Linked DNA regions of Macaca fascicularis. The protein of the gene in region 1 purifies or fractionates together with the protein of each later gene. This does not show direct contact. Links are inferred from orthologs where the notes say so. Each region holds a gene or a part of one and is shown in the gene's direction. Other genes may lie near its edges. The genes, in order: DROSHA, DDX17, DDX5 and SRPK1.

Region 1 (7,734 bases):
TAGAGTCCTAATCTCAGCGTGGGTGACCTGTGTGAATAACCTGCTGTGTTTTCTTGTGCTTTTTTTTTTTTTGAGATGGACTTTTGCTCTTGTTGCCCAGGCTGGAGTGCAGTGGCACAATCTCGGCTCACTGCAACCTCTGCCTCCCGGGTTCAGGTGATTCTCCTGCCTCAGCCTCTCCAGTAGCTGGGATTACAGGTGTCTCCCACCACGGCCAGCTAATTTTTTTGTTTTTTTTGTAGAGACGGGGTTTCACCATATTGGCCAGGCTGGTCTCAAACTCCTAACCTCAGATGATCCACCCACCTCTGCCTCCCAAGGTGCTGGGATTATAGGCGTGCGCCACCGCGCCTGGTCTGTGTTTTCTTTCATACATTTCTGTATTCTCTAAAATCCTGTAACTGAAAAGAATACATGTGAAGGTTTTTTCTTTTTTGTTTTTGGCCATTGTTTTATTAAATGGGCTGTTATTACATACTTCTCTATACCTTTCTTTTTTTGCTCAATAATGTATCATGAGCAGCCCTGCAGATTATAGAAAACAGCTCCAATTCATTCTTATTGGCTGCATAATATTTCCTGCTAGAGGTGTGCTATATTTTATTCAGCCTTTTTATTATTGGTGGACACTTTTTTTTTAATCATCATTACCAACAAATGTTATATATTGGTGCTTTTTAGTTGTGTGGAATAGGTTCCCGGGAGTGGGATGCGTGGGTTGAAGAAACTTCAATTACATGATTGACCTTGTAGGAAATTGCATAGTCTTTTGTAAACTGAAGGCTTAAGTGCAAGGGATTTTTCTTCTGAGGTCTGTTGTGCTGCACAGCAGAACCTGTGGGCACAACATGACAGTGCAATTCTATTATGCTTCAAGTACCCCGCTAAATGAGGTAGCAGACAGTACAGTGCGGGAAGCTAAAAGTGAAGAGGCCCAGAATCTTCAGGCATGGGAGAGATTCCAGGAAAGGCAAGCAGGCTAAGAGCCAAGTGGAAATCAGCAGATAAAGGTTCCTGTTCGGGGGCAGGGAGGTTAGTGGGAACAGAAGCTGGTACTGCAGGGTCCAGCATCCATGGATTCTTCACAGAGAGTTTTAAGTTGGCTATTAGGAACTTCATCCATTGTACATATAAATTTGCAGTCAGAGTGAAATAAAAGTGTGATTCCATTTTTTGTTTGTTTTCGACTATAAAACAGTACTGGAGAGATCACCTGTTCTGAGACAGGCCTGCATATCCATACTGATAGGAGTGAGTTGTTTAAACTACTGGAAAGCAATTGGGCAGTATGTAGCAGGTCCTTAAAGAAGTTCATACCCTTGGTAGGCCAAGGAAAGAATCACTTGAGGCCAAGAGTTAGAGACCAGCCTGGAATATAGTGAGTCCCTGTCCTTACAAAAAATTTAAAAAAATAAAATAACCCCAAAAACATTAGCCAGGCTTGGTGGCATGCACTTGTAGTGCCAGCTACTTGGAAGGCTGAGGCCAGAGGATCACTTGAGCCCAGGAGTTTGTGGCTGCAGTGAACTATGATCATGCCATTGCACTCCAGCCTGGGCAACTGAGTGAGAACCCTGTCTCTTCCCCTCCTCTCCAAAAAAGTTTGTACCATGAGAATCATGACAACTTGATTTATAATAGCAGGAAAAAAAATCAAACTGCGTGTTTAAGAGTAGGAAAATATTTCATAAATTTTGGTATATCCCCGGGTTAGGAAACATTTTCTGTAAAGGACTGGATAGTAAGTATTTTAGACTTCCCAGACCATACAGTCTCTGTCGCAATTCTTCAACTCTGCCATTGTAGCCCACTGGCCTGGACAGTATGCAAACTAATGAGTGTGTCTATTTAATGGGTGTGTCTACCAATAAAACTTTATAAAAACAGATGGATAGCTGTATTTGGCCTGTGGGTAGGAGTTTACCAACCCTTGCTATATCCAAATGTTGTATCCATTAGTGGTTTTAAAAACTAATGATATGAGAAAATGCTTATACTAGAATAAGAAAGCATACCCTTATTAAATACATACCTATACTGTACTTTCCGAAAGAGTAGATAGGAAAATGATTTTAAATGTTCAAGTGTCTAGGTATATGTGTGTGTGCATGTGTATGTACACACACACACACATTTACACTGCATATATATGTAGTATAGCTTCATAAAGGCCATAAGGATATATTTAAAAAGTTTTATCAATAGTTAAATCTGAGTTGTGTTTTTCAAATGCAAATTTGATTTTACAGTAGAATTTACTGGGGATTATTACATACTTCTGTACTACTGAGGAAATAGAGTTCATTTTGTAGAGACTTGCTTTACAGTTAACTCAGTGGGATTTATTTTTTAAAAAGTAGTTATATTTGAAACCTACATAAGGAATAAATTTTATCAGTTCAGGAATAGGATTTTATTACTGTTTTATTTCCAAAATACAGATGTCATGTTCCTCTTTTTTAAAAAAATCAATCTCTGGGCCGGGTGTGGTGGCTCATGCCTGTAATCCCAGCACTTTGGGAGGCTGAGGCAGGAGGATCACTTGAGGCCAGGAGTTTGAGACCAGCCTGGCCAACATGGTGAAACCCCGTCTCTACTAAAAATACAAAAATTAGCTGGGTGTGGTGGTGCATGCCTGTAATCCCAGCTACTTGGGAGGCTGAGGCAGAGAATCACTTGAACCTGGGAGGCGGAGGCTGCAGTGAGCCGAGATTGCACCACTGCACTCCAGTCAGGGCGTCAGAGTGAGTTTCCATCTCTAAATAAATACATTAGTTAATTAATTCAATCAATCTCTGACTCTCAGACATATCAGGTCTTTGCTGATTCCCCACCTGTCTTTCAGATGCTTTTCCTACTACCCTGTCCTTTCTTCAACCTACTGTGAGGATGGTACACTATACAATTTAGGGATAGTGTAATATAATAGGGATAAAAGAATTTAGGATATATTATACAGTCATCTCTCCTTATCCTTGGGGGATACTTGACCCCAGTGGATGCCTAAAACTGAACATTATGTACGCTGTATTTTTTCCTACATGTGCAAAATTTAATTGAAAGATGAAATGTAATTTATAAATTAGATACAGAAAGAGATTAACAATAAATAAAATTGAACAGTAACAACATACTGTAATAAAGGTTGTGTGAATGTACTCTTGATTGTATGCTGTGTCTGCTGTCTCTCAGAATATCTTATTTTACGTTACTTACCTGTTTTCAGCCCATGGTCGACCACAGGTAAATGAAACCATGGAGAGCAAGATCACTGATGAGGGGCCTGCTGTCTTATATGTAGATCAACTTCATTATGCATCATCCTTAAAGGAAATAAATGAACTTGCCCCCAAGCATGCCATGCTCTCCTACATCTTGGATTCTTCATGTGTTTGAAACATGAAGTTATATGTCCGCTTTGACTCAATAAGTTTTCTACTTGAGTTACTTTTGCAGATACAGTTTTGGGCCTGTCATTGTAAGCTTAAAAATTAATTATCAGACATAATGACTTAGAATGTGGCCTCTTTTTGTCCACCTGATCTTTCTTTGCTCTTTTCTGAGACTTTAATTCTTGGTAAATAATGGTGTCATAATGTCATTTGTTTGAAGTTTTTAGTTTGAGCTTTTCAAAAACTGTGACTCCATTTTACTGTATCCTTTCATCTCTCCCTGAAAGTCACCTGTTGCTAGGAGAGTGATGCTAAAGCACCTGCTTAGTAACATTCCCAAGCCACATGTCTGTGTTTTGACATTTCTGTATGTTCGATGCCTGTTATACTCAAGTTCACATCAGATATTGAAATTTACAATCGGGGTGCTCATCCAGGCTTCTGATGTGTTTTTGAGTGATGAAAGAATAAGGGAAGAAAACAACTTTCTATCTTGTGCCTTACGAAATATAATTATACACATTTCATATGCATGTATATTTGTATGTGTATATGTTTAGTTGCATCACTCTTTGCACTAGTGGCTATCCTTTATTAAATATAAAATATATTTCCTTGTGTCAGATAATTTTCCCCAGATGGCCCATCAGAAGCGGTTCATCGAACGGAAGTACAGACAAGAGTTAAAAGAAATGAGGTGGGAAAGAGAGCATCAAGAGAGAGAGCCAGATGAGACTGAAGACGTCAAGAAATAAAGGAGGGCATGCAAGTGTGGAGTATTTACTTGCTCAGTACTGTGACTGTTGTCTATTGAGACCTAGCCTAGTTTTCCTACAGACAATGAATGAAGTGTGCTCATTGAAATAAAATACAAGTCAAATTGCTGTTGTTTTAATGATCTGTTTTTAGCTGGATGGTCTTTATTACAAAGGATTAGATTTTTCTTCTATTTAATGGAAAACTCGACTTTGGTGAATGTGCATTACTTCCTTTTGTTTTGCTCTTTAAATAATAAAATTCAAGAAGCATATTCTATGTGGAATAGATCCTGTTTTTTCCATCTCTGTCCCAGATTGTGACCCTAGACTTTCAATTGACAAGTAAAAAATTGACTTTACTAGACATTTTGACTATGCTCTATTAACATCTATACTTTTTCAAATCTCTGGATTTTTAAGTAGATTGTTCAGCTTTCATCTGGTGGCTGTTGTATCAAGTTCTCAGCTGCAAATATTGAACTTACCTGTCTCTAAGCAGTGAGTGTTTTGTAGAAGGAATCCGTTTAACAATTAATTGGCTAATGGGAGAAGAGGAAAGACTGATATTCAAGTCACATAGATTCTCTGAATCATTAGAATAGGAGAGAAATCATGATTCTAAGCCAGGCCACACTTTAAACCAAGTGCTCTCACCCTGAGGTTAGTGGAACCTTTAAGAAGGTAATGAACAGACTTCAGGGAAGTCAAAACCTCCCAATACCAAATTCCATTTTCTGTGTGTGTTTGAGATTTGAGAGGGCATGGGGAGCAGGAAGGAGGAGGGTTTAGAGCTTTTATCAGCCTCTCTAAGTGGGCCCTGCAGTAAAAGGCTAACATGACATTAAAAGACATGATATTTTTTAAAAAGTTATTTAAAACTAAATATCACTGGTTTCTTATTAATAAAGGCAAAACTTCTTTGTAAAACAAATCTGTTTCATTCATCATTTCAGCAAATATATAGTGAATGCTTCCTATGTATCAGACACTGCTCTAGTCTCTGGGGCTATAGCAGTGAAGAGGTCCTTGAGGAGCTTGGGTGCTAGTGCAGGAACACCCACAACAGACCAAGAGCCCAATGGCAAGAAATAAAGCAGGGACTTGTGTTTGCAGTTTTCAATGAGGTGTTTGAGGAGTTCTCCCTAAAAAGGTATCATTTAAGATGGGAAAGAGGAGACGAAGTGAACCCTTCAGGTATCTGGAAGTATTTCTTATATAAATATTAAATGTTACATATGTATTGTCAAAATTTTGACAAATGGACTGGGCACGGTGGCTCACGCCTGTAATCCCCGCCCTTTGGGAGGTCGAGGTGGGCAGATCACTTTAGGTCAGGAGTTCGAGAACAGCCTGGTCAACATGGTGAAACCCCATCTCTACTAAAAGTACAAAAATTAGCCAGGCATGGTGGTGGGTGCCTGTAATCCTAGCTACTCTGGAGGCTGAGGCAGAAGAATTGCTTGAACCCGGGAGGTGGAGGTTGCAGTGAGCCAAAATTGCGCCACTGCATTCCAGCCTGGGTGATAGAGCAAGACTCAGTCTCAAAAAAGTTGAAAAATATATTACTTTTATTAGCAGGAGAAAGAAACAAATGTTGCTTAGAAACTATTACGGAAAAAATAGAAAGCATAAGCAGAAAGATAAATCACTTATGATTCCATCACCCAGAGAATTATGTCCTGTTGGACTGTCTTTGTACTTAAATACACACATGCACTCGTGTGTTAACAGGATACCATACATATGGTTTCCATAGCCTTTCTAACTTCTTAAAATAATATGAATATCTTTGTGCGTCGATTTCACATTTACATAACATAGTTGTTGACGGCTACATAGTAATGCACATCATAATTATATGCCAATTGTAGATATACTGTATTAACCAATCTCATAAAAAATGTATAGGTTGTAAGCAATTTATTGTCATAGTGCTGCCACATACCTTTTTGAGGGTGTGTATACACACACACACACACACACACATATTGGAGAGAGAGATACCTCTAAGATGTCTTCATTTGCTAATTATAAAAATGTAAGGTGGTGCCTTTAAAAAAAAAAAAAAAAAGGCTTGTCCTGATGCCCTTCCTCCCCACCAGTGATGCCAGGAGATCACTAGGGAAGGAGGAGAGAGAGCTCATTTTTTCTTCTTTTTTTTTTGAGATGGAGTCTTGCTTTGTCACATAGGCTGGTGTGCAGTGGCGTGATCTTGGCTCACTGCAACCTTCACCTCCCGGGTTCAAGCAATTCTCCTGCCTCAGCCTCCCAAGTAGCTGGTTACAGGTGTGCACCACCACGCCTGGCTAATTTTTGTATTTTTAGTGAAGATGGGGTTTCACCATGTTGGCCAGGCTGGTCTCGAACCTTTGGGAAAAAGCTGAGTGTTGGGAGGAAAACTGAGGCAGGGCTTGCATAATGTCCTCTGGAATGTGTCTAGACTTGCTGGCTCCTTGCTTCTAGCCCTCCTAGGTTCCTATTCCCATTATCTCAAGTAGCAGAACAAGTTCTATATAAATGATAAACCATCACAGCTGTAAATCATGTGCTTAATGCAACGTGTCCTTTTGACCGCCACATTCTCACCACCTGTTTCTTTGTTGGATTACCAATAAATACCATGGGCTTCCAGAGCTCAGGGCCTTCACAGCCTCCACAATAGCGATGGCCCCCCTGGTGTCCCACCTTTCTCTCTTAAACTGTCTTTTTCTTAACCCTTTGACTCCGCCGAACTTCGTTGCCCCCACGACCTGGTGTTGGGTCTGATCACCCCAGCATCGAACTCCTGGCCTCAAGCGATCCACCCTCCTCAGCCTCCCACGCTACTAGGATTACAGGCATGAACCACCGCGCCTGGCCAAGAGAGCTCACTTCTGAGCTATGTTGGTTTTGGTACATCTACCACCCTATTTGGTGCGCTCTTTCTGAGCATTGTATTTAAGTTACATGAGCAGCAGACAGCAGGACTGGAAGGAAAAGAACGCTGATGGCCTTGAGAATGTTGCCAGCAAAAGCAAAAAAGCCAGGGAAATAGTTGAATTTTTTAAAAATAAGCACTTTTACTACTCTTGAATTGCATAAAAATAATGTCAAAGCCGACATGCTTTTCAGGAATTTCTGTTGGACCTTGACTTTTACTCTCTGTAGCACTTTGACCCTTTTCAAGTTCTCTGTCCGTATTAATGGCTCTTGAAACCTGGAGAAGTCAAGTCCAGAAAATACTAAAGTACCTCTTGTAGTGGAACCTGCCACACACATCAGTGCAGCGTAGCTCTCAGGGTTCTACAGAGCAACAGTGAGGCCGACACTAAATTCTGTAACTAGCTAGCCACATAGGCCAACTCAGCAGGTCCCTGTGACCACAGATTCCAGCCCCGCCTCCTACCCAACCCAATGTTCTCACATGTTCCAGTTTGACTAAAAGAGTCAGCAAGAGTGTATGTTCAAATATTCACTCAGCTGAGTATTAAGTGCTGTTGGTCACAGAGGCTGAATATGAAGGTTTCTTCTCACAAGTCACTTAGGGTCTGGCTGGGGAGACAAATGATGGTGTGTGTGCGCAGACAAAGGGCTTCTAAACAGGG
Region 2 (7,664 bases), on another chromosome or scaffold:
CTAGAGCCTTAATTTGTTAAATTGGGTTGAATGGGAGACATGGGTATTAGGTTAAACTCTTTGAGCCAGGCTTGGGGTTTTGTTGAAAGGACAAGAGATTGTTTTATGGTTTTATGGTCGTCAGTTCTTTTGTTCTTGTATTTAGACTGAGAAATTTTTTTTTAAGGTTTTTATCTTTTTCTAGGGTTTTGCCCTCTGCCTTTTAGAAAACAGCAGAATGAAATTGCTTTCTAGCTGGACATGATGTGAATTTGGTAAACAATAAATGACTACCATGTTCCCATGTCCTGTTAGATGCTTTAGGGTAACGGTTTTTCAAATTTCTGAGAGAGGTAGACTATTATAGCAGCTTTTTTTTTTTTTTTTTAAACGGAGTCACAACTTTGTCACCCAGTTTGAAGTGCAGTGGCGTGATCTCAGCTCACTGCCTCCTCCGCCTCCTGGGTTCATGCGATTCTGCTTCACCTTCCCGAGTAGCTGGGTTTACAAGCGCCCGCCACCACTCCTGGCTAATTTTTGTATTTTTAGGAGAGACAGGGTTTCACCATGTTGACCAGGCTGGTCAACTCCTGACCTCCACTGGCCTCAGCCTCCCAAAGTGCTAGGATTACAAGCGTGAGCCACCTAGCCTGGCCCAGAGCAGCTTTACGGTAAGCTAGTCGGAGATCCAGTAGATAAAGAAAACACTGTGGAGAGATGAAGCTGGGTAAATCTTACTTTAGTGAGCTTAAAAGTTTTTTTAAAAACTCTTTTGGTTTGTGCCCTTAAACACAATAAAATGTGTAAAATAAAATTCTCTTACAGAATATGTAATGGATGTGTTGATGGATCAGCACTTTACAGAACCAACTCCAATTCAGTGCCAGGGATTTCCGTTGGCTCTTAGTGGCCGGGATATGGTGGGCATTGCTCAGACTGGCTCTGGGAAGACATTGGCGGTATGTATGAGCAAGAGAAGATCCTTGATATTGTGGTAACTTATTTTGCTATTCTGATTATCATGCGTTCTCAGTTCTTCATAGAAATGCTGTTCAGATAGTGTAGGTACTATTTTAGGTATTAAATATATGAAAGCATTTTATGTTCAAATTTGCATCGCCTGCTGTATGTGGCAATGGTGAGTTCTGTTTTTCACTTTCCTATTTATGCATTAATTCAGTAATTACTAAGATAGTATTAAGTATCTTAGTAAGATTGTACTTCTAAGTATAAGGTTGTCATTCTTTCCCTCCTCCACAGTATCTCCTGCCTGCGATTGTTCATATTAACCACCAGCCATACTTGGAAAGGGGAGATGGCCCAATCGTAAGTGTGTTTCAGTTTCTTTGTAATTCTAAGAAAAACTACAATTTAGCAACTATTTAGGCATGGTGGTTTACATTATCCATTTGTACTCTTCACCACACCCTCCATATATGGAAATGGTTTCATTCTCATCTTACTTGCAGTTAAATGACTTACCCAAGATCACTCAGCAGTTGAATAGCTGAGCTTACATTTGAACCAAAGTCTTACTCCTAAAGAAACTATGCATGCTATATGGGCACTTACTGTGCAGTAAAGTCAAGTGTTTTCTGGGTGTTTTTTTGTTTGTTTGTTTGTTTGTTTGGAGTTTCGCTCTTGTTGCCCAGTTGGAGTGCAATGGCGTGATCTTGGCTCACCGCAACCTCCACCTCCTGGGTTCAAGCGATTCTCCTGCCTCAGCCTCCTGAGTAGCTGGGATTACTGGCATGTGCCACCATGCCCAGCTAATTTTGTATTTTTACTAGAGATGGGTTTCTCCATGTTGGTCAGGCTGGTCTCAAACTCCTGACCTCAGGTGATCAGCCTGCCTCAGCCTCCCAAATTGCTGGAATTATGGGCATGAGCCACTGCATCCAGCTTTTTTTTGTTTTGTTTTGTTTTTTGTTTTTTTTTTTTGGGGCGACATAATCTCACTCTGTAGCCCAGGCTGGAGTACAGTGGCAAGATCTCAGCTCACTGCAACCTCTGCCTCCCAGGTTTGAGCCATTCTCCTGCCTCAGCCTCCTGAGTAGCTGGGATTACAGTGTACACCACCACGCCCGGCTAATGTTTGTATTTTTAGTAGAGATAGGGTTTCGCCATGTTGGCCAGGCTGGTCTGGAACTGTTGACTTCAGGTGATCTACCTGCCTCGGCCTCCCCAGGGTGCTGGGAGCCACCACGCCTGGCATTGAATGTGTACTTTTTTTTTTCTTTCTTTTGAGACGGAGTTTTGCTCTTGGTTGCCCACGCTGGAGTACATTGTTGGCACAATCTCAGCTCATTGCAACCTCTGCCTCCCAGGTTCAAGCGATTATCCTGTCTCAGCTTCCCAAGTAGCTGGGATTACAGGCATGTGCCACCACACGCGGCTAATTTTTGTTTTTTTAGTAGAGACGGGGTTTCACCATGTTGGCCAGACTGGTCTCGAACTCCTGACTTCAGGTGATCCTGCCTCGGCCTCCCAAAATAATGGGATTACAGGTGTGAGCCACCACGCCCGGCCTACTTTTTAACTTTAAGAATTAAGCTTGCATTTGTCGTATGTATTTATGAACATGTACAGTATGTCTCAAGATATTCACAAAAAGAAAGAATGCAGTACTTTATATAATACATAGTATATGTCTGATAGCATTATTAATTAATATCTAATGGATCAGTATACAAAGCAAGTTTCATAATTTGGTATATGATACCTTGATTTTTGTATTATTTGGCCAGATTGTACACAGTTTTGTCAGATTACATGTAAATTTTCATTGTTTTTGCCTTATCTGCCTGGTGAAGTGCTTAAACTAGAGGTCAGGAATGTGTCCTTCTGCCAGTTTTGTGACTTCTAGTTTAAGTCAGGTTGACCATCCAAAATTTCAAATTTTAGGCCAGGCACAGTGGCTCACACCTGTAATCCCAGCACTTTGGGAGGCCAAAGTGGGCAGATCACGTGAGGTCAGGAATTCGAGACTAGCCTGGCCAACATGGGGAAACCCCATCTCTACAAAAATACAATAATTAGCTGGGCGTGGTGGCGCATGCCTTCAGTCCCAGCTACTCAGGAGACTGAGGCGCAGGAGAATCATTTGAACCCAGGAGGCAGAGGTTACAATGAGTTGACATTGCACCACTGCCCTCCAGCCTGGGCGATAGAGTGAGACAAAACAAAACAAATCCAAATTTTGAGGACCAATATGATTCTCAAAGTAATGCTGGAACATTTTGGTTTTTCGGGTTTAGGGTGCTCAACCTGTAAATGAGAATTGTATACTTAAAATCAGGTAATACAATCTGTATACGTACTTAAAAGTACATATAAACTATAATGATTTGATAATGTGTCATAGTAAAAGTGACGAGGATACCAGTATCATTCCAAATGCTAAATATGAAGTTCTAATAATTTCTTCTACATTCCATTGTACTAATATTCCCTCCTTCTGATCTTCACCCCATCACTTTTAATGTACTAGATTAGACAACAAAGATTTTTGGTTTTTTTGTTTGTTTTTAAACCTTGGGTGGGGTCTCAAATGTCTTTTTGTTGATTTCAGTGTCTAGTTCTGGCTCCTACCAGAGAGCTTGCCCAGCAAGTACAGCAGGTGGCCGATGACTATGGCAAATGTTCTAGATTGAAGAGTACTTGTATTTATGGAGGTGCTCCTAAAGGTCCCCAGATTCGAGACTTGGAAAGAGGTAATAAAATAATATCGTGTAAAAGAATTGTTAGTTTATCTTTACCAATTCCTGTGGATGAAATTGGAGAAAAAAGTGGGTTCTTGTGAAAAACTGAGAATTTCAGCAGCTTAGAAATTCTCACATGTGACCAAAATAACTATTTTGAGAGAGAAAGTTCAACATGACTGGAAACTTTGTGAGGATTTGGTGATTGTACATAAATCCCGACATCATGCTTTTGCAGGTACTTTGTTAAAATTTAGCTTCTCTGCAGCATTGAGTACAGCCACCAGGGCTGGTGCTGCTGCGTTTTTGTAGAGTCGGGGTCTTGCTATGTTGACCAGGCTGGTTGTGAACTCCCGGCCTCAAGCTATCTTCGCGCCTCCACTTCCCGAAGTGCTGGAATACAGGTGTGAGCACTGCACCTAGCTGATTTGCTGGATCATTGGTTTTGTTTTACAGGTGTTGAGATCTGCATAGCCACTCCTGGACGTCTGATAGATTTCCTGGAGTCAGGAAAGACAAATCTTCGCCGATGTACTTACCTTGTGTTGGATGAAGCTGACAGAATGCTTGATATGGGATTTGAACCCCAGATCCGTAAAATTGTTGACCAAATCAGGGTGCGTAAAACTAATAATAAGCAGTCTTTATGCCATTTGTCCAAGCTCCTTAGCCTGAAAGAAAGCCTTTCCTTTTTTGATAGCCTGATAGGCAGACGTTGATGTGGAGCGCAACCTGGCCAAAAGAAGTAAGACAGCTTGCAGAGGATTTCCTTCGTGATTACACCCAGATCAACGTAGGCAATCTGGAGTTGAGTGCCAACCACAACATCCTCCAGATAGTGGATGTCTGCATGGAAAGTGAAAAAGACCACAAGTATGAAAGAGATTTTACTCTCTGATTTGATAATACCAATAAACCTTTTCTATTAATAACCCTCCAAAATCAGTATTACAGAAACCAGTATATTTTGAGGCCTGAAAGCATTAAAAGCATTGCTAACTTTCTGATAATCCATCTTTATGTCATTTGTCAGAGCATTATGGTTAAATGCAAGGATTCTGAATTCTTGAGTTTGAATCTCAGCTCTGCTGATTACCAGCTGTATAATTTTGCACAATTTTATGTCTTGGTGCCGCAGTTTCTTCATCTGGGACATGGGAATAATACCACTCACTTGAGACTTGCTGTGAGGATGGTATGAGTGGTATGAATTAGTATTTCTTGAGCACATAGCAGAACCTGACTCAGGACTCCATATTAATGTTGGTTTAAAATTTTAAAAACGTAATGTGCAAAGAAAGTACTATAGCTTTGGGAGTTGATATTGTAGACATAATCTTCCACATAATAGATACTTTCTGTGTGATGACTGCATTGTTGGTCTTGTTTTCAGATTGATCCAACTAATGGAAGAAATAATGGCTGAAAAGGAAAACAAAACAATAATATTTGTGGAGACAAAGAGACGCTGTGATGATCTGACTCGAAGGATGCGCAGAGATGGGTGAGTATAGCACCAAGGCAGTTAACCTCTGGTTTTATAGTTAACTGGAAATTTCTAAATTGGTATTCCAAATGCTGTGTAATATTTCAATAATGCCTATCCATGCAGTTTGCTCTTTAAATGAGCACAGTCATCTATTCATGAAGCCTGACAAACCTTAAAAAAATTGCATTATAGCATTTGGCTTTAAAGTTTGATTTTCCCCATTTTAAAATATTTTTTAAATATCGGTTATTTTTCTTCTGATAGTTGGCCAGCTATGTGTATCCATGGAGACAAGAGTCAACCAGAAAGAGATTGGGTACTTAATGGTAAGTTTAAGCATTTTTTGTTGATTTTTTTTTTTTTCCCACCATAAGTGAATGTCCATGCTCTATTTCAGGGATAGGCAAACTTTCTGTAAAGGGCCAGATAGTAAGTATGCTTGGCTTTGTAAACCAAATGGTGGTCTCTGTTATAGCCACTCAGCGCTGCTGTTTTAGGACAAAAGCTGTAGGCCATAGATAATATGTAAAGAAATGGCCTAGACTGGGCACTGTTGGCGGCTCATGCCTATAATCCCAACACTTTGGGAGGCCGAGGTGCATGGATCACCTGAGCCCAGGAGTTCAAGACCAGTCTGGGCAACATAGTGAAGTACTGTCTCTTTAAAAAAAAAAAAAAAAAAAAAGGCAAAACAAAACTTAGCCAAGCTTGGTGGTGCACGCCTGTAACCCCAGCTACTCCGGAGATTGAGGTGGGAGGATTGCTTGAGTCTAGGAGACAGAGGTTGGAGTGAGCCAAAATCGTGCCACTGCACTCCAGCCTGGGTAACAGAGTGGGACCATGTCTCAGAGATAACATGGCTGTGTTCCAACAATATTTATTTGCAAAAGTGGGTGTTGTGCCAGATGTGGCCCAAAGGCCTGTTTGTCTTGCCCCTGCTGTATAGTTAATTGAATTACTGAGGGCACTTTTAGTATGTGCTCATGGTCCATGATGCTGGCTCTTTCAACTTTGTCACAACTTTCACCACCCTCCCTTTATTAATAAAGTCTTCAATTTTTTCCTTCTGATTGTAAAAATATAACTATCATTTGGGGAGAATTAAACTGTTAGTGAAATATTTTTTTTAAAATGCTTCTCAATTATTGAGTCATATTTTAGCATATTTCCTTTCAGTCCTTTTTTTCAGGACTACTCTTAAGGGAAGCCATTGAGAAATGGAAGAGGCCATATCTTATTTAAGAAATAATATGCAGCTGGGCGCGGTGGTTCACGCCTGTAATCCCAGCAGTTTGGGAGGCTGAGGTGGGCGAATCACCTGAGGTTGAGAGTTTGAGACCAGCCTGACCAACAGGGAGAAACCCCATCTCTACTAAAATACAAAATTACCCTGGTGTGGTGGCACATGGCTGTAATCCCAGCTGCTTGGGAGGCTGAGGCAGGAGAATCGCTTGAACCCGGGAGGCGGAGGTTGCTGTGAGCCGAGATTGCGCCACTGCACTCCAGCCTCGGCAATAAGAGCGAAACTCCATCTCAAAAAAAAAAAGAGAGAAAAAGAAATAATATGCATACCTCTTGGGGGGAAATTCAGTTCTTTTCATTTCGTATCTTTTAAACTTGTTTCCTACCAAACCCCAGCTTTTGATTGTGTCTCATTTGGGAAATAACTTCAAGGGGAAAAAATTCTAGCTCATATTAATTATGTAACAAATTGCCACACTATCTTAACAGTATTTCGTTATTAGTAGAGGTGACTATTGTACTGCTGAAGATGAGTGTGATAAAGGTTTTCAAAAGAATAACTGTCTGTCATTATAAGAGCCTGGGATTTTCTGACACCATTATTTGAAATTTTAACATGATGATGTAAACAGATCAGATAGCTAGGAATGCTTATTTGATGATGATTATTGTTTGTTTTTACAGAGTTCCGTTCTGGAAAGGCACCCATCCTTATTGCTACAGATGTAGCCTCCCGTGGGCTAGGTTTGTATAGATAGGCGTCTCTGTCAATGGTATATGTATCTTTTGGTTTAAAGATTTGTCATTTCAAATTCAAACTTCAAGTTTAGAAAGTTGTATATACATGTGGTTAGATAAATATTTGAAAGAAAAGAATACAAAGCGTGATTCTCCCCGTTCCCCGCCCCCCACAATTTTTTTTAAAACCTTGGTTTCCCCCACCCCCCTTTTATTTTCAGATTCTCTTCCTGCTCCTAACAAACAGGCTTTGGTCTGCAGCAAGGCCTAGGCATGACTATACAAACAGGGAGAGGAGGCAGTCAGTTGAATGGCTCAACTTCTCTCTGGTGGTGTTTTCTGGCTGGATAGAATAAGCCTGACGAAACCTAGCTATTGTAAGCTAGTTTCTTCAGTTATTCTTTTCCCTATCCCTGTCTAAGTTAGATATATACAGAGGTCCAGTTTTATGAATGCTTACTAGATGGAATGTTATAAGTCTAATGCAGTATCAGAATAGCAATCAAATTTGTATT
Region 3 (8,189 bases), on another chromosome or scaffold:
TAATTTTGTATCCATGAGAGACCAAGTTTTCATCTCATTGTCTCTCACTAGGCTACTGAATATGCTCAACTGCTATGAAAGCTCTGCCCAAACAGAACATGCTGTAAAGTACAGACTAAAATTAATAAATCCTGAACTCTACACAGCAGAATCTTTATTGGTTATTTATTGATTGAACCGATTTATCAATTTTGGATATTGACTGAATATTTATTACACCATTTATATATACATATATATATGAACATGCTTTACAAGAAGCACCATGTTAAGGAAGATAAAGTGGCCCCTACATTCAAAGAGAGCTAATAGTCTAGTAAGGGAGCCAAGACATGATACTTTAACCCATAACTATGGGCTGCTTTCTACGAGAGGAAAAAAAAAAACAACACAGCAGGCATTGGAAGATTATTTTATATATATGTATGTTTGTTTATTTATTTATTGAGACAGGGTCTCGCTCTGTTGTCCAGGCTGGAATGCAGTGGCGTGATCTTGGCTCACTACAACCTCTGCCTCCCCGGCTCAAGCAATTCTCTTGCCTCAGCCTCCCAAGTAGCTGGGATTATAGGCGTGCACCACTATGCCTGGCTAATCTTTGTATTTTTAGCAGAGACGGGGTTTTGCCATGTTGGCCAGGCTGGTCTTGAACTCCTAGCCTCAGGTGATCCACCTGCCTCAAATGATCAGCCTCCCAAAGTGCTGGGATTACAGGCGTGAGCCACCACGCCCGGCCCTTATATGTCCTTTTGAGTAGCCAACTGGAATTATTGGTATAAAGATTTAAAATGTCAGTACAGGCTGGGCATGGTGGCTCATGCCTGTAATCCTATCACTTTGGGAGGCAGACAGGGGAGAATCACTTAAGCTGAGTTGGTACCACCCTGTTCTTGAACATAGTGAGATGGGGAGCAAGATGAAAGGATATATACGCTTATTAACTGTCTTGGTAAATTAGGTTCATCAAGTACAAATATCAATTCTTACCCCTAACACTGGTTAAGTGACAGGATCCAATAAATTCCCAAGTTCCACTCAATTTTACAACCTTTGAAGGTACATTTTCAGAAAGGATGCAACTTTCACAAGGCATTAGCCATGATTGGATTAACCAGTGATTATCAGGAGCCCTCAAACTGATCTGCTCAAGGCCATTATTGAGTGGATTCCACAGGGTATTCCTTAAGGAATATAATATAATTAGACAATACGCAATATTAAATACCATTTAATATACGATATTTAAATATTGTATATTAATATATAATTTAATATGCAATATTAAAAAATATATAGGCAAAGAGAAAATGAAATGTTATAAATACCAAAGCATCTAACTAAAGGACCAAAAACTTCTGACCTAAGATATAGGCAAAATTACTCCTGCTTTTAGTAGTCTTACCTGGTACCTTTTCTCCCAAAATAGACTGATAAAGGGCAATAAAAACATTAGCATCACAGTCTTGAAGTTCATGTATTCTCAGATGTATATGACACTTAAAAAGAAGGCTATTGGCAATGGTTACCCACTCTGTTGGGAAAAAGGGGGAAAGATCAGTCTTAAATACCACCAGAAAAAAATCACACACCCATTCAAAAAATCCAACAACCTCCCCACCCAGAAAAAAAAAAAGACACTGAACTTTGTAGAAGATAGGGAATTTGATTGTTATAGAATTTCAAAGACCCGTTAGGCATGATTTTTAAAAAGATGTATTTAATTTCTTGGGATGATTTCCAGAGTGCTGTAATTTCTATACAGTCAAAACTATACTGCAAATTCAACTGTTACTGTTGCAGCCTAAAATCTTAAGTTACTTATATAAGCCTTACGTGGGTGTTTTTAGTTAAAACATGTTTACAAGTAAACAGGAATATTATGTCATAAGCAACAGTTTAATAATAATCTGAAGTTACTAGACAGTCATTAATAAAATATGTTGCTTCAAACTCCCAACAGTATTGGTCATGTGTTTACCCAATTATCTTGTGCAAGTCAGGATTTCTCTGGTGCCCAAATAAGTGGTGATTAAACTTAGGCTGTTAAGAACTGGCATAATGACAACATCAACACTAATGCATTTCTTAGTTTTTCTTTTTTATTATATTGATCTACATGAAACAAAATATTGGAAGTACATGAAGCTCAGAATTATCAATACTGTTGACGTTTCCTGCATACCACATTCTCCTCTCCCCTAGATATTGCTGGGATTTGCGAAGTTTAACAGTTTCTCTACCAAAAGCAACTTAGCTTAAAATACTTGTTCCTTGAAATGCCTGACGATTGGTAGGAAAGCACTGGCAATCGATATTAGAAACAAACATCTCCACTATGTTCTGGACACATGACGTTCTGGAAACGAATGAGAGTGTATCTTCCAGGCACATAATCCCCCCTCTCCAAGCCCATTTCTCACAACTGGCCAAACCATGACAACTGGTTTGTACGCAGTCCTAGTGAAAAGGATGAAAGCGTCCTAGACAACCAAATTAATTCGCTCTTCAAAAGCGGTGCTAGACAAAGCCCATGACTCTAGAGGGCACTGAAGAGAAAAAAGCACCACTATTCTTCTGTGGCAGGGGCATGAATAAACCTTAAGAGTGCCGTTCCTTTAAAGACCACTACAAAAGGAGGTACGACCTCAGGGCCCATAGTGCAAGGGAGGAGGGCACATGGACAGCGGCTAGACGCCCCACAGAAAGACAAGTCCGAGGACGACCCTTCTGACTGCTCTTTTTGCAGCCAGGACCCGAGCGTCCTACCGGCCTCGCCCCAGTGCCTCTCTCCCACCTCATACTGCTGTTCCACGGCCTCAAAGCGAAGAGGGGGTGAAGCTGAGAGACCCTATCCAGAGAACCCGCCACCGCGACGCAGCGTCTGACAGTAACGAGCCCCGCCGACACCCCAGACCCAGTCCGGGCTAGCCCGAGGCCTCCCTGAAGGTGGACAGTTTCAGTAAACACACACCGCGACCCCAGGGAAACACTCACCAGCCTCCGAGCGGGCCATGTCTCGGAAGCAGGTCGCCGCCGGACTCCGACGCTGCCAGACCGGCGACGGTGTCCTGCAAGGACCGAACGCAGAGCAGACGCTGGGGGGCGGGCGCACGAACTAAAGCGCGGGGAAGGAGGCGTGAAAGAGGGAGGGACGTTAAAAGAACTTCTCGCCGCTGATTGGTCATCAGAGGAGCACTTCCTTTCACAGCACGTGCCACGGAAGCGGTTTGGGAAGTTTAGAGACCATTCTCCGCCGGCCAAAACCCGTCACAGGATTGTCAGACCCGTGGGTCGGACGGTCCAAGTTAGCCGGCAGCTGGGGGCGGGTCCCGGGTGCTGGCAGCGCACTTCCGGTGAGCTATTTCGTTATGTATCCCTCCGCCGACGTCAACGGGGAAGTAGTGCGGCCCCCTGTCACGGTGGGCGGTGGGGGGGTAACGTCACGTGACAACGCCAGGCCCCCGCCTTCCCTCTCATTTGGTTACAGGCGTGAGGGCTCTTTGGAGACGTAAACACCTCCGAGTGGGGAGGGTGGGCGGGCTTGGGCTGGCTGTTTTATCGTCTGGCTGGGCTTGGGAAAGGGCAGGGTGGCTTTCTTGAGGTGTGGAAAGACGAGAAGAAGGTGAGGTCAAGAGAGTGGAGAATGAGGCATTTCAATGGTGGGTGGGCCCTGACCTGAGAGAGCGGCACGGGGTGGGGTGAAAGCGCGGCGATCGCGGAACGCCGGCGGGCGTTGCGGCCTCTGCGCGAGGGGCGGGGCGATTAGGTCATAGAGCGGCTCCCAGCGTGCCTTGCGGCGTAGGAGGAGGTCCAGACTATAAAAGCGGCTGCCGGAAAGCGGCCGGCACCTCATTCATTTCCACCGGTCTCTAGGTGTGCAGCTTTGGCTGGTGTCATCGCCGTCACTCCTCCGCTGCCGCCCCCGCAAGGCTTCGCCGTCGCCGAAGCCATTTCCAGCGACTCGTCGCACCCTTTTCTATCTACTTCGTTCCCCGCCAACCGCAACCATTGACGCTATGTCGGGTTATTCGAGTGACCGAGACCGCGGCCGGGATCGAGGGTGAGTGTGGGAGCCGAGTTGTCAGGGCTGGCGGGTGGGGGATGGGAGGGCGGGTCAGGGTGGCGGCGGGCCGGGGCTTTGCGGCTTGGACTCGGCCTTTCCGGGCTATCTTGGGGCCTCCTTTCCCGAAGGCTTGCGCCATTTTGATATTCACGTAACAGTGAGTGGGAGAGATTTGACGGGATAGTGTCTTCATCCTCGCTTTTTGTGTGGGGGTCGGGGAGCCGTCGGGGCGGCTGCCATTTGGTAGCTGTTGAGGGAATTCAGAGGGAGCGCATTGTTCGGATGAAAGCGCGACGCTTCGAGGCAGACGAAGGAACAGCTGTTAGGTGCGGCCTTTCGGGAGGTGTTTTTGGGGTGGTCGGGCATTCTGTGGGAGCGAAGGGACCACCTCCAAAGCCACTGGTGCTGTGGGGGTAGGAGGGCGGCCGGCATCAGCCATGTGGCTGAGTCGCGGGTATAAAATGCCGGCCTTGGACATGGCGGCGGCGCCTTTGTTACTCCGCCCGGCGGAGGAGCTCAAAATGGCAGCGTCGAGAAAATGTGGCGCAGAGAGAAATGCGAGACAAAGGGGGAAGCGCCGCCCCAGCGGGAACGCCGCCCGGCCGGCTCCGCCCGGGCCGGGACTCCTCCCCCGGTAGTCGCCGGCTCCTCCTTTTCTTTTTTCCTGCGTTATATAATTTTAATTCGTTGATCCGGAGCTCTACCGCGGCGTCCCCCCAGCTCGGTTTGCTAGCAGAAGTGTTTCTAAACCGTTGTTTCGTTTTCGTTGTCTGTGCTGTCTAGATTGTTGACATCAAAGCTCTTTGGCTTGAAAACGGCCATATGAGTAACATCGTTGTGATGCTCTTCGGTTCATGTAGGCTTGTTATCACTGATAATGAATTGCTAGACTGGTGAGAAAGATAATAGTAACCACAAGAAGTGGTGTGTAATACTAAATTCTGGCATCTGGGTGACAAGTTTTCGATATAGTAAATCCCAGGCTGTTTACGTGGCCTAAGTTGTGTGTACTTGGGACTACGGGAAACGTTAACTGTGGCTGTTGAGAGAGAGATTATCACTAAGGACAGTGCTAGGTTTACCTCTCGAAGTCGGCTTTCAGTGATCTTTAGCTTGTGCCAAGGGATGGTAAACAAATCTGTCCAGAAACCTAGGTGTAGCCATTTGAAAATGTAAATAACTTTTTTTCTTCATTCCAGGTTTGGTGCACCTCGATTTGGAGGAAGTAGGGCGGGGCCCTTATCTGGAAAGAAGTTTGGAAACCCTGGGGAGAAACTAGTTAAAAAGAAGTGGAATCTTGATGAGCTGCCCAAGTTTGAGAAGAATTTCTATCAAGAGCACCCTGATTTGGCTAGGCGGACAGCAGTGAGTAAATTCATGTGGCTTCATCAGGCTGTAACTCAATGGAGTCTAGTAAATGAAATTCTGACAGGTGTTTTGCAAATAACTCAATTTTGGTAGAGTTACGTTTTCTGACTTCATAATTGGGAAAGGTGTGACTCACTTTTGCAAATAGGTGGCTTTGGGAATTTTTTTTTTTAGATTGAGTATAGCAGAATAAACGGTTTTTTTGTCATATAGGGTTTTCATACGCGGTTCCAGATTAAAATGAAGCTACTTTAAACTAATTACTAAATTATGAAGTTACGGACTTGCCAATTACGTATTTAGTTAGGGGTGGTTGTCATGAGCTTTAAGACTGTTATAATTTGTTTTGCAGCAAGAGGTGGAAACATACAGAAGAAGCAAGGAAATTACAGTTAGAGGTCACAACTGCCCGAAGCCAGTTCTAAATTTTTATGAAGCTAATTTCCCTGGTGAGTGCTACTTTTCAGTTCTACCCTACCCCTGTGTTTTTGTTTTCACCTACCTCCTCCTTTCCTTGGCATCACTAATTTTTGTTAAATATCTGTCACTAATTATAGCAAATGTCATGGATGTTATTGCAAGACAGAATTTCACTGAACCCACTGCTATTCAAGCTCAGGGATGGCCAGTTGCTCTAAGTGGATTGGATATGGTTGGAGTGGCACAGACTGGATCTGGGAAAACATTGTCTGTAAGTTTGAGAGAACTCTTGATGTAATATGTGCAAGAAAACGGAATGCTAATTTAAAAACAAGAGTATTTTAATGTGATTTCTGTTTGTCCCCGTCTTCACCCCAAATAGTATTTGCTTCCTGCCATTGTCCACATCAATCATCAGCCATTCCTAGAGAGAGGCGATGGGCCCATTGTAAGTATATATTTTTAACTTTTTATTAGAAGTGTAATATATAGATTTTTAGACTACATAGCAAAAGATGTAATTATTTGTGGTGGTTTTATACAGAGGTTAGCTCACCCTATTCAGCTGGAGTTGCTTTGGGTATTGGACAACACATGAAGAAAGGATCTGCCATCATAACTAATAAGTTAATAGTTTAAAACTAGTATCCAGGTTTGTGCTGAAAGCTGTTTCTCTTTCCTTAGTGTTTGGTGCTGGCACCAACTCGGGAACTGGCCCAACAGGTGCAGCAAGTAGCTGCTGAATATTGTAGAGCATGTCGCTTGAAGTCTACTTGTATCTATGGTGGTGCTCCCAAGGGACCACAAATACGTGATTTGGAGAGAGGTCTGTAATGAAGAGAGTTTTATTTGTTATTGGTGCTAAATATTTTAGGTATTATAGTTACACTTACGTGTTTAATTAAAGGTGTGGAAATCTGTATTGCAACTCCTGGAAGACTGATTGACTTTTTAGAGTGTGGGAAAACCAATCTGAGAAGAACAACCTATCTTGTCCTTGATGAAGCAGACAGAATGCTTGATATGGGTTTTGAACCCCAAATAAGGAAGATTGTGGATCAAATAAGAGTAAGTGTCCTTTGAAATATGTGATCAAATTCAATTCTATTTTCACTTTTAGTCTGACACTAATTTTTCCCCCCAAAATCCATTAGCCTGATAGGCAAACTCTAATGTGGAGTGCGACTTGGCCAAAAGAAGTAAGACAGCTTGCTGAAGATTTCTTGAAAGACTATATCCATATAAACATTGGTGCACTTGAACTGAGTGCAAACCACAACATTCTTCAGATTGTGGATGTGTGTCATGACGTAGAAAAGGATGAAAAGTAAGTTTTATTAACTCTGTTATATTCGCTTCCTAACCTTGCTAAAATTGAGGGATCATTGTTATTTCAGTTGGTGTGATTTCGTTTAGTTAGCCTATTAATCCTTCTGAAAATATCTTGAATTCTTCAAATAATGATTATCACCGTTTATAGTTTTCCTATAGAAGGAATTCATGTGTCCCCTGGTTGACTTAAGGACCAAGGGTCGAACTACTACATAAGTGGGTTAGCAGGTGTTTCCTCTTTGACTTCCAGCCATGTAAATTGAACTTAATGTTTTGCTGACCATAAATGTGGGGCCCTACCAATGGTCTTTTAAAACTCAGGATTTTTCCTTTCTCTCTCCCATTATTAGACTTATTCGTTTAATGGAAGAGATCATGAGTGAGAAGGAGAATAAAACCATTGTTTTTGTGGAAACCAAAAGAAGATGTGATGAGCTTACCAGAAAAATGAGGAGAGATGGGTATGTGTGGGCTCCTCCATTGAAGCAGATTTTTTTGTAACTGAGCTTAGGAAAGGGCAAACTTGGATCAGGAGCAGTGGATATCTGATAATATAAGTGAATTTAATTCTTTTTAATTTCTGGTGAAATTAAAGAGATCTGTGACAAGACGTGGTTAAGCACTGGAGTCTGAGGTTTTCAATGTGAGTTTTATGATACAACTTGTCTTTTAGGTGGCCTGCCATGGGTATCCATGGTGACAAGAGTCAACAAGAGCGTGACTGGGTTCTAAATGGTAAATATTTCAAATGAAGTTTTTTTCCCCCCTTACTTAGCTAGAATTCTGCTCAGATAATTGATCATGTATATGCCTTCCTTTGTAGAATTCAAACATGGAAAAGCTCCTATTCTGATTGCTACAGATGTGGCCTCCAGAGGGCTAGGTTAGTACAAACTCGCATTCATGGCTTGGTTTCCCAGAAGATCTCCATTTAACTTTTTTAAAGAAAGTTTATTGCTTTCTTTAACCTCTGCATTTTTTCTAAGTTTTTTTCACATAAAGGTGC
Region 4 (8,389 bases), on another chromosome or scaffold:
ACCTCTACTTTTAAAGGGACTTGCAGGAAAAAAAACAGCAATGGAGAAGGGTATGCATGTAAGAATGAATAGCTACCACTTTTTTTGTCCTTTTTTTTTTTCCCTTTTTGTGCAGAAAGGGGTCTTGCTGGATTGCCCAGACAGGTCTCTAACTCCTGGATTCAAGGTATCCTCCCGCCTCTGCCTCCCTAAGTGTTGGGATTACAGGCGTGAGCCACCATCCCTGGCCTATACTGTTTTTTTGTTTTTTGGGTTTTTTTTGAATTATTTTTGCTACCGCTTTTAAGAACAGTTTCTGGGGAGCCTAAGGCGAGCAGATTGTTTTAGACCAGGAGTTCCAAGCCAGCCTGGGTAACGGGGCAAAACCCCATCTCTACAAAAAATACAAAAATCAAGTGGATATGGTGGCATGTGCCTCTAGTAGTTCCAGCTACTGGGAAGGCTGAGGTGAAAAAATTGCTTGAGCCTGGGTTGCAGTGAGCTGAGATTTCGCCACTGCACTCCTGCCTGGGTGACAGAGTGAGACCCTGTCAAAGAAAAATAAATAAATAAATTCTGGAAGGGTAAAAGTCCAGAATAGGCCAAGTTCTGCAAACTTGGGAGAAAAAACTGATTTTAAAGTTAGATTTAAAGCAAAATGCACAAAAAGGGGATGGTTGTAGAATAGGGGAAATGAACAAACTTACTTATATGAACAATTATAGAGATCTTAGACAAAGTGGAGAGCCAAAACATGATGGAGGAATAGAGAAAAACAGATGGACAAAAAAGAGAAATGGTCAATTCTGGGAACTCAGTCCAGTGAACTTCACATTGACTCTGGAAAAAGTCTGAAAATGAGTTATCAAACAGATGGTTAGTAAGCTCTTAGAGAAGCAACAGTCACTCAGAGTCAGAATAGGTACGACTGTCTCATGCTAAGCTGAACATATTTCCTTTTTGATGGGTCTGCAATAACCAATTCAGATTTAATACAGCTCTAATATTGTCCCTCTCAGTGTTTTCTCTTTCATCCTGACATTTCTCATAAACTGCAGATCATTTATTCTTTTTTTTTTTCTTTTGAGACGGAGTTTCGCTCTTGTTGCCCAGGCTGGAGTGCAATGGTGCAATCTCTGTTCACTGCAATCTCCGCCTCCCAGGTTCAAGCGGTTCTCCTGCCTCAGCCTCCCAAGTAGCTGGGATTACAGGCATGTGCCACCACGGCCAGCTAATTTTGTATTTTTAGTAGAGATGGGGTTTCACCATGTTGGCCAGGATGGTCTCAATCTCTTGACCTTTGATCTGCCCGCCTCAGCCTCCCAAAGTGCTGGGATTACAGGCATGAGCCATGGTACCCGGCCCATTTATTCTTTTATTAGACAAATATTTGAGCACCTACTAAGTGCCTGACACTGTGTAGGCACTGAGTATACATCAAGGAAAATCTAAGCAGGGTCTCTACACTCAAACAGTTTACTTTGGGGTGGGCAGTACTTTCCCAATTCTGGGATTTTTCCTAGCCATCTGCTCTCTCCCTGTCTTTTCTAAACCACATGTGGTTATCCTGAACTCACACAATCCTCAGAGTCTAGGGCTTCCCTGTCTGTCCTAACCTTCCTTTGTTTTCAACTTTACAGCAGGGAATAGACTGGGCTGCATCCTTCCTTGGCCAACAGGTACTGTCTTCTTTTGCAATATACCCAGACATGCTATCATTCAGGTTCCATGCAACATATATCAATTATCTAAATTTCAAATTTGGCTAACCTGCCTTTCCAGCCTCACCTTCCATTTCATCCCTTCAGTTGTTACCAGCCCCAATCCTAGCCCCCACCTACAGGTGTCCATGTCTGTGCCTTTTTGCTCAATGTATTTTCTCATTCAGGAATGCCTGACATCTCCTTCTCCGCCTACAGAAATCTTATGTATTTCCTAAGACCCAGCTCAAAAACGGCCTCCTCTGTGGATGGGCTTAATTACTTACTTTGCTCAATAAGTCCTGCCAAAGCCCCCATGCTTGACTTGTGCTGTACTATTGCCCTCTCATCTTCCCTTCTCAATTACTTGTTTAGAGCAAAGGTCTTCAGAGCTTCCACTCTGACCAGCTGTGGTACTTTACAATAGGGGCTGGTAAATTAAGATCTGAAATAAGAATAGTTAAAACGGTTGAAAAAAGATCAAAAGGGCCTGGCTCAGTGGCTCACACCTGTAATTCCAGCACCTTGGGAGGCTGAGGTGGGAGGATCACTTGAGCCCTGGATATCCAGGCTGCAGTGAGCCGAGATCATGCCACTGTACTCCACCTGAGTAGCAGAGCAAGACTACTCCTCTTTAACCCTCACCTTCCCTTCAAAACCTAACAAAGGCCATGTTTAAATCAATAGAAGAACATTTTATGACATGCGAAAATTATATGAAATTAAAATTTCAGTGTCCATAAATAAATCTTTATAGGAACAAAGTCCATATTTTCTATGACTGCTTTTGAGCTCCAGTGGCAGAGTTGAGTAGCTGAGAAAGAGATCTTATGGTCCACAAAGCCTAAATATTTACTATCTGGCCCAAAGAAAAACTTTGCTGAGCCTGCTATACAATAAGGGCTTGATGATTAAATAACTGGGTCGTACACCAAGATTCTGAACATATAGGCAGGTCCTCTTAAGTTTAGTGTCTTTGTGTAATGGAAGTAATAACTATTTTGCCTTTAAGTTGCCATAAACATAAAATGAGATAATGCACTTAGAAAAGTAAAAAAAAAAAAAAAAAAAAAAAAAAAAAAAAAAATCTCATAAACAAGACAACTTTATCATGTATTGAAGGTGGTAGAATAAGAAAACATTAAACGTTTTTATTCTCATTTCCCTTTCTTTCCTTTACAGCTTTCATTTAAACTTGAAATTTCAAGAGAAAATTCACTTTTGAAGTTTTTACTTTTCAAGTGATAATAGGGTCACAGGTTCTTTCCTTCCAGTCTTTCTGTGTTGCTCCCACTCCCTTTTCTTTCTCACATGTAATTTTTTTCCATTTTCTTTAAATAGTATCTCAACTGGGCTCACAATAGCTCAGGGAAGGAGAAACTGGGACATGCCTGATTAATCCATTTTACAGGCCAGGAAACTGAGGCAGATCCCAAGCCTCTGAAGCTCTGACTCAGCAGCATGCAGGGAGCCCTGCCGCTCTCTGCGCCTTTTCTAAGCAAATAGAACAAAACTAACCTTGCCAGGTTTCCAAGCTTGGATCTCTAACACTCCTTCAACGTTCACCCCCGACGTTCCTCCTCTCAGCGCCCCCTCCCTCTCCTTGCCGCCCCCTCCTCGGGAGCAGGTGGTAGGCTCCGCTCCCGACGCGCATGCGCGCGGCACGGTGGGGCGGGGGCGGGGCGGGACTGGGGGTGGAGTGTGCGCGGGCTCGGTTTTGGGCCGCGGCGGGAGCTGGAGTCACCGCCACTCGAGTGCGCAGGCGCTTGGCGGTTACCGGTCTCACCATGGAGCGGAAAGGTGAGCGGTGGAGCGGCCTCCGCCACGAGGGGCAACGGCCGCCGGGGCGAGGCCCGGGTCAGCGCCCGGAGCTTCGCCTAACTGCCGCGGTTCGGTCCCCGGGCTTGCGGCGCCCCTCCACTGAGGTGGCGCCGCCCCACACCCCCCGCCTCTGGGCTGCGGGTCCGCGCCCCTCAGCCCGGGCGTCCTCCGGCGCCGGCCGTCGCCGCCCCTTGTTCCCTGCCAGGCCAGCTTGCGCCTTGGGGCCACTCCAGGGCCCGGACCTTGGCGGGCGAGGCAGACCTCCGCCCGCCCGCCCCCTGACCCGGCCTGAGACCCCTCCGGCGCATCCCGCCCGGGCGCTGCTCTGTGCCCCGTGGGCCGCCAGCCCCCCGGCCGGCCGCCTTGCCGAAGCCTCCGCGCTCGTACCGCAGCCGCCCCTGAGACAGGCCCCGCAGCCGGGCCTGGCGCCCCTGCTGGGTCTCCACCCTCACCTTGGTCACCTCCTTTCCTCCACATTTGCCCTTCATCCATCCCTCTCTCCTGCAGTGCTTGCGCTCCAGGCCCGAAAGAAAAGGACCAAGGCCAAGAAGGACAAAGCCCAAAGGAAGTGAGTCTTGTACCCCAACATCCCATTCTTTGGATTTTCCTCCGGCACCTTCTCTGCTCTGGTTTCGCGTCTTGAATGTGCACAGGGTTTGGGCACCCTGTGGCCGCAGCCACATGGCCTCGGGGCAGCTCGGAGGGTCGCTCTCCAGCAACCATGTGGAAGAGAGCTGCTGTTGCTGAACGCCAGGCCTGGGTCTTAGCAGCCCCAGGCCTGCTGGAAAGGGCTGTCGGAGGAGGACCAGAGCCCGCCCGGTACCTTTCCTCCCCAACTCCACAGAGGAGGCACAAACTCCCCTAGCTTGGACCCCCCCCCACCGGAGCTGGTAGATCATTATCGTTCTGTTTCTGAACTCTGGTCTCTCTCTCTTACCTGCTCCCCAACGTCTTAACTTGCCTCCAACGTCTGCACGGTAGGCCTTAAGGAAATTCTTGAATGAGTTTTTCCGTGTTTACTTTGGGTTCTACCAACCACACACTCCCTTTCATAGAGGAGGGCATGGGGCTTTTCTTTGGGTTAGTCAACTTCCTGAACCTGCAAGGCACATCGGCTTTTTTGCACTGTGCCGGCAGACCGCTGTGTATACAGTCAGTGTCTGTTAACTGCTTCTCTTCTGTCTAAACCTCAATCAAATGCAGATAATCTTCCGGAGTCGGCATCACTATAGTAACGGGAGAGTTCTTTAACACACATCGATGGTTCTGGTTTGGTGTATTAAGCGCCACATGTCCAGTTTTATCAGTGGGATGCATAACAGTAGTTTAGTGCTATCGTGGCAAGTTCAAAAGTTGGTCACAGCCTAATAGAAACTCAGGTAGCAGGCTTCATTCAGCAAGTGAGGCTAAGCCTAAAGAACTTTCATCATGTACTAACGTTTAACTGCAAAGGGTCTTGGAAATCAGCTCTTGGAAATCATCTCTCAGAGAGAGATTCTATGCCTAGTTCTTAATTTTAAGATGTATTATCTTTATACTTTTAAATTTATTTGATTTTTTTGGCGTTGTATGCGGTCTAATTCCCTCTGAGTTGATACAACACATTTCAAAGGCTTTCCTAGGTCACCCCACTGAATGACAATACCAGATTAAGGGGGGCGTAGGGGTGTGTGTTGTTTTTGGAGGCTACCTACTGTTTGGGGAGAGCACCTAATGACTTCTGTCTTTCAATAGAACTAAAGTGGTAGGTGACCTCACCTCTTGCTCTATTTTCTATTCCGTCTTATGAAATATATTTTGTAAGTGCTTGGTGACGAAGGTTTGTAAATGGTGAGTTTGTGTGTGTCTGTTTGCCTTTGGATTATCCGTATATGGGATTATTCAAAACCATTTTTTAATCCTAGATTGTTTAATAGAAACAGCAAGGTGCTAACTTGGTTCTAGTGTGCAGTAGGAATTGAAATGTTAGTTTTCTGTGCCTAGTTGAGTTATTCTTTGTGGAATTGATAAGAATGTGTTAAAACGTTCTTTTCTATTGATACGAGGAAGTTGCGGTTTTTATTATATTACTGTATTTTTTAGAAATCCTGGTCTCTCAGACCATTTGTCCGGATCTCTCTTACCACTTGGAAATTAATTTGAGATTAGCCCAAATCAAGCTATAATTTGAGGGGCAAATGTATATAGGTGATCATATACTTTAAGCACCAGATATCTATTACTTCCGATTATCTATTTAGACTATATGCTTTATTTCTAAAGCCAAATATATGTATATCTGTTACCCCATTCACTACTATGGATAACTTAGAGTTATTTGTGTTGTTAATTGTTTGCAAGTGTGGATTATAGATAACGTAGCAGTCATTTTACTGAATATTTTATCTTGAACAACTTTGACTCCTGAAAATATGCGTGAATGAACTGCCCCATTTACTTGTAATTTCAGAGGTGTTTTATTTTTGGTTTTGTTTCCAATTAATGCGTTTTTGCGTTTTTTTGTTTTAAATTTACCTTTTTATTCTTTTTCTTTTTGAGGCAAGTTCTCGCTCTGTTGCCCAGGCTGCAGTTTAGTGGTGCGATCTCGGCTCACTGCAACCTCCACCTCCTAGATTCAAGCAATTCTCTTGCCTCAGCCCCCCAAGTAGCTGGGACTATAGGTGTATGCCACTACGCCTGGTTAATTTTTGTATTTTTTGTAGAGATAGGGTTTTGCCATGTTGCCCAGGCTGGTCTCAAACTCCTGAGCTCAGGTAATCTGCCTGCCTTAGCCTCCCAATGTGCTGGGATTATAGGCGTGAGCCACTGCACCCTGCCCTTTTTTTTCCTTTTTCTTTCTTCCTTTTTGTTTTTCTTTCTTTCTTTCTTTGGTATCCCAGCCTCCTTTTAAGTAGCTGAAATGTCTAATTAAGTTGGTTAGAGTACTGTGTCAGAAGTTCAAGCCTCAACTAACTCAGATAACTTGACTCTGTTCCATGACTTCTGATTGCACGCCTGATGACTTCCATTTACTTTGCAAAGGCAAGCTGCTAGTTGCAGAAGGTGAGTCAGGAAGATTTGAGGAAGAAGCATGCCATAGAGTTTGGTCTTTGGAGATAGATGTGGTTTTGAATTCTGATTTTGCTACTGTTTAGCAATCTGACCTTAAGACAAGTTGGTTAAGGAAACAGTCTTTTTTTTTTGAGACGGAGTCTTGCTCTGTCGCCCAGGCTGGAGTGCAGTGGCCGGATCTCAGCTCACTGCAAGCTCCGCCTCCTGGGTTTACACCATTCTCCTGCCTCAGCCTCCCAAGTAGCTGGGACTACAGGCGCCCGCCACCTCGCCCGGCTAGTTTTTTTTTTTGTATTTTTTAGTAGAGATGGGGTTTCACCAGGTTAGCCAGGATGGTCTTGATCTCCTGACCTCGTGATCCGCCTGTCTCGGCCTCCCAAAGTGCTGGGATTACAGAAGGAAACAGTCTTATGTATAAAACTGACTGGCAGTTTAGTCATAATGAAAACTGATCAGGACCTAAAGGTATAAAAACTAAGCATTTAAATGAAAATTTCAGAAAGTTTTGGAAGTAATACTTTTGGAAGTAATACTTAGGCTTATTTACAGTAAATAGCATCCTTAGTAGTCTAAATAGTCTGACTAAATAGTCGTGTTGTGTCACAGGCAGAAGGGATTTTCAGTCCCCTGGTACTGTAGATCTTAAACCCAGGGTCTTGAAGCTGGTGACAGAAGAACCAAAACTTGGAATTCAGGGTCCCTTTCCAGCTCAGTGTTTGTTAGAGTGGATTTCCTTTGGGTTCTTTTTACTGTGCTGGAGTATTTGACTTTTGGGATTTTTAATTTTCTTATTTAGACAATTCCTTCTTAGTTTTACTTTTTCGGACACTATGCTTTTATTTACTAACATTAACTAGTTGGTGATGATCTCCGTTTTACTTTACAGATAAGAGAATTGAGGTTTGTCAGATTACTCTCCTAGAAAATTGCAAAGCTAGGATTTGAACCCAGGTCTGACATACCGAAAGCCCTGGTTACCAATCATGTGTTTCTAAGTGACAGACCTTTTGGTGTGTCTTACAACAGGTAAGGTAGAAGCTGAGTTGAAAGAGGCTTCTGAATGAGAGACCTCCGTATGCTTGGGGGTTTGGGTGCCCTTTCATGACCTACTGTCCTGTGTCTATGAAACAGCACAATCATCTATCTCCCTCTGAGCATTTGTTCTCAGTGTTTATACCAGTAGCTGTGAGCCTTTATTTGTTTGTCATAAGCTTTTATAATTTAACAGTCTATGTCTGTTTTTGTTTTGTTTTGTTTTTTGAGACAGGGTCTCTTGTCACCCAGGCTGGAGTGCAGTGGCGTATTCTCAGCTCACTGCAACCTCTGCCTCCCGGGCTCAAGCGATTATCCTGCCTCTGCCTCCCAAGTAACTGAGATTACAGGCACCTGCCACCACGTGGGCCCAGCTAATTTTTGTATTTTTGGGGGTAGAGACAGGGTTTCACCATGTTGGCCAGGCTGATCTCAAACTCGACCTCGAGTGACCCACCTTGGCCTCTCATAGTGCTGATACTAGAGATGTGAGCCACCGTGGCTGACCTATATGTCTGCTTTTGAAGTTATTTCTATGGAATGTAATTCCAAAATGGATTTCATACTTACTGATTTTATTACTTTATTAGGAAGTTAGTTTGGACGGTAATTTTCACTTTATTTGCAGTTAAATAATTATGGATTTGGTATACATTTGGTAGTAAAATTAATTCAGCTCTAACACTGATTTGTGGAGTCAGTTGGGAGATATATTGAAAATTTACTTGAATTTGGCCACAAATTAAAAAAAAAAAAACATTTGCAACAGAAAATACTTAAATATCTAACATTTTTATTCAGTAGGA

Evidence for each region.
Region 2: the proteins of DROSHA (region 1) and DDX17 purify together in Homo sapiens (co-immunoprecipitation; 3 studies listed by IntAct, with this or other methods). This does not show direct contact. The link is inferred for Macaca fascicularis from reciprocal best matches to the Homo sapiens genes DROSHA and DDX17.
Region 3: the proteins of DROSHA (region 1) and DDX5 purify together in Homo sapiens (co-immunoprecipitation; 4 studies listed by BioGRID and IntAct, with this or other methods). This does not show direct contact. The link is inferred for Macaca fascicularis from reciprocal best matches to the Homo sapiens genes DROSHA and DDX5.
Region 4: the proteins of DROSHA (region 1) and SRPK1 purify together in Homo sapiens (affinity purification with mass spectrometry; 3 studies listed by BioGRID and IntAct, counting the BioPlex papers as one, with this or other methods). This does not show direct contact. The link is inferred for Macaca fascicularis from reciprocal best matches to the Homo sapiens genes DROSHA and SRPK1.

The regions. Positions count from the first base shown.
Region 1 is NC_088380.1:31,975,666-31,983,399, reverse strand, and holds the end of DROSHA (ribonuclease 3), read left to right. Parts: intron 1-4,016; coding exon 4,017-4,147; 3' UTR 4,148-4,422; downstream 4,423-7,734. UniProt on the Homo sapiens protein: Ribonuclease III double-stranded (ds) RNA-specific endoribonuclease that is involved in the initial step of microRNA (miRNA) biogenesis.
Region 2 is NC_088384.1:13,153,052-13,160,715, forward strand, and holds part of DDX17 (probable ATP-dependent RNA helicase DDX17), read left to right. Parts: intron 1-804; coding exon 805-938; intron 939-1,239; coding exon 1,240-1,305; intron 1,306-3,550; coding exon 3,551-3,692; intron 3,693-4,136; coding exon 4,137-4,297; intron 4,298-4,380; coding exon 4,381-4,553; intron 4,554-5,073; coding exon 5,074-5,184; intron 5,185-5,433; coding exon 5,434-5,495; intron 5,496-7,095; coding exon 7,096-7,155; intron 7,156-7,664. UniProt on the Homo sapiens protein: As an RNA helicase, unwinds RNA and alters RNA structures through ATP binding and hydrolysis.
Region 3 is NC_088390.1:71,094,094-71,102,282, reverse strand, and holds the start of DDX5 (probable ATP-dependent RNA helicase DDX5), read left to right. Parts: upstream 1-3,224; 5' UTR 3,225-3,353; exon of another isoform or gene 3,354-3,622; intron 3,623-3,873; 5' UTR 3,874-4,016; coding exon 4,017-4,060; intron 4,061-5,262; coding exon 5,263-5,428; intron 5,429-5,783; coding exon 5,784-5,880; intron 5,881-5,988; coding exon 5,989-6,122; intron 6,123-6,233; coding exon 6,234-6,299; intron 6,300-6,535; coding exon 6,536-6,677; intron 6,678-6,758; coding exon 6,759-6,919; intron 6,920-7,005; coding exon 7,006-7,178; intron 7,179-7,533; coding exon 7,534-7,644; intron 7,645-7,856; coding exon 7,857-7,918; intron 7,919-8,006; coding exon 8,007-8,066; intron 8,067-8,189. Other genes in the region: CEP95 (centrosomal protein of 95 kDa), read right to left, coding at 1,403-1,531, 2,995-3,013. UniProt on the Homo sapiens protein: Involved in the alternative regulation of pre-mRNA splicing; its RNA helicase activity is necessary for increasing tau exon 10 inclusion and occurs in a RBM4-dependent manner. Binds to the tau pre-mRNA in the stem-loop region downstream of exon 10.
Region 4 is NC_088378.1:135,748,225-135,756,613, forward strand, and holds the start of SRPK1 (SRSF protein kinase 1), read left to right. Parts: upstream 1-3,424; 5' UTR 3,425-3,466; coding exon 3,467-4,068; intron 4,069-4,437; exon of another isoform or gene 4,438-4,502; intron 4,503-8,389. UniProt on the Homo sapiens protein: Serine/arginine-rich protein-specific kinase which specifically phosphorylates its substrates at serine residues located in regions rich in arginine/serine dipeptides, known as RS domains and is involved in the phosphorylation of SR splicing factors and the regulation of splicing.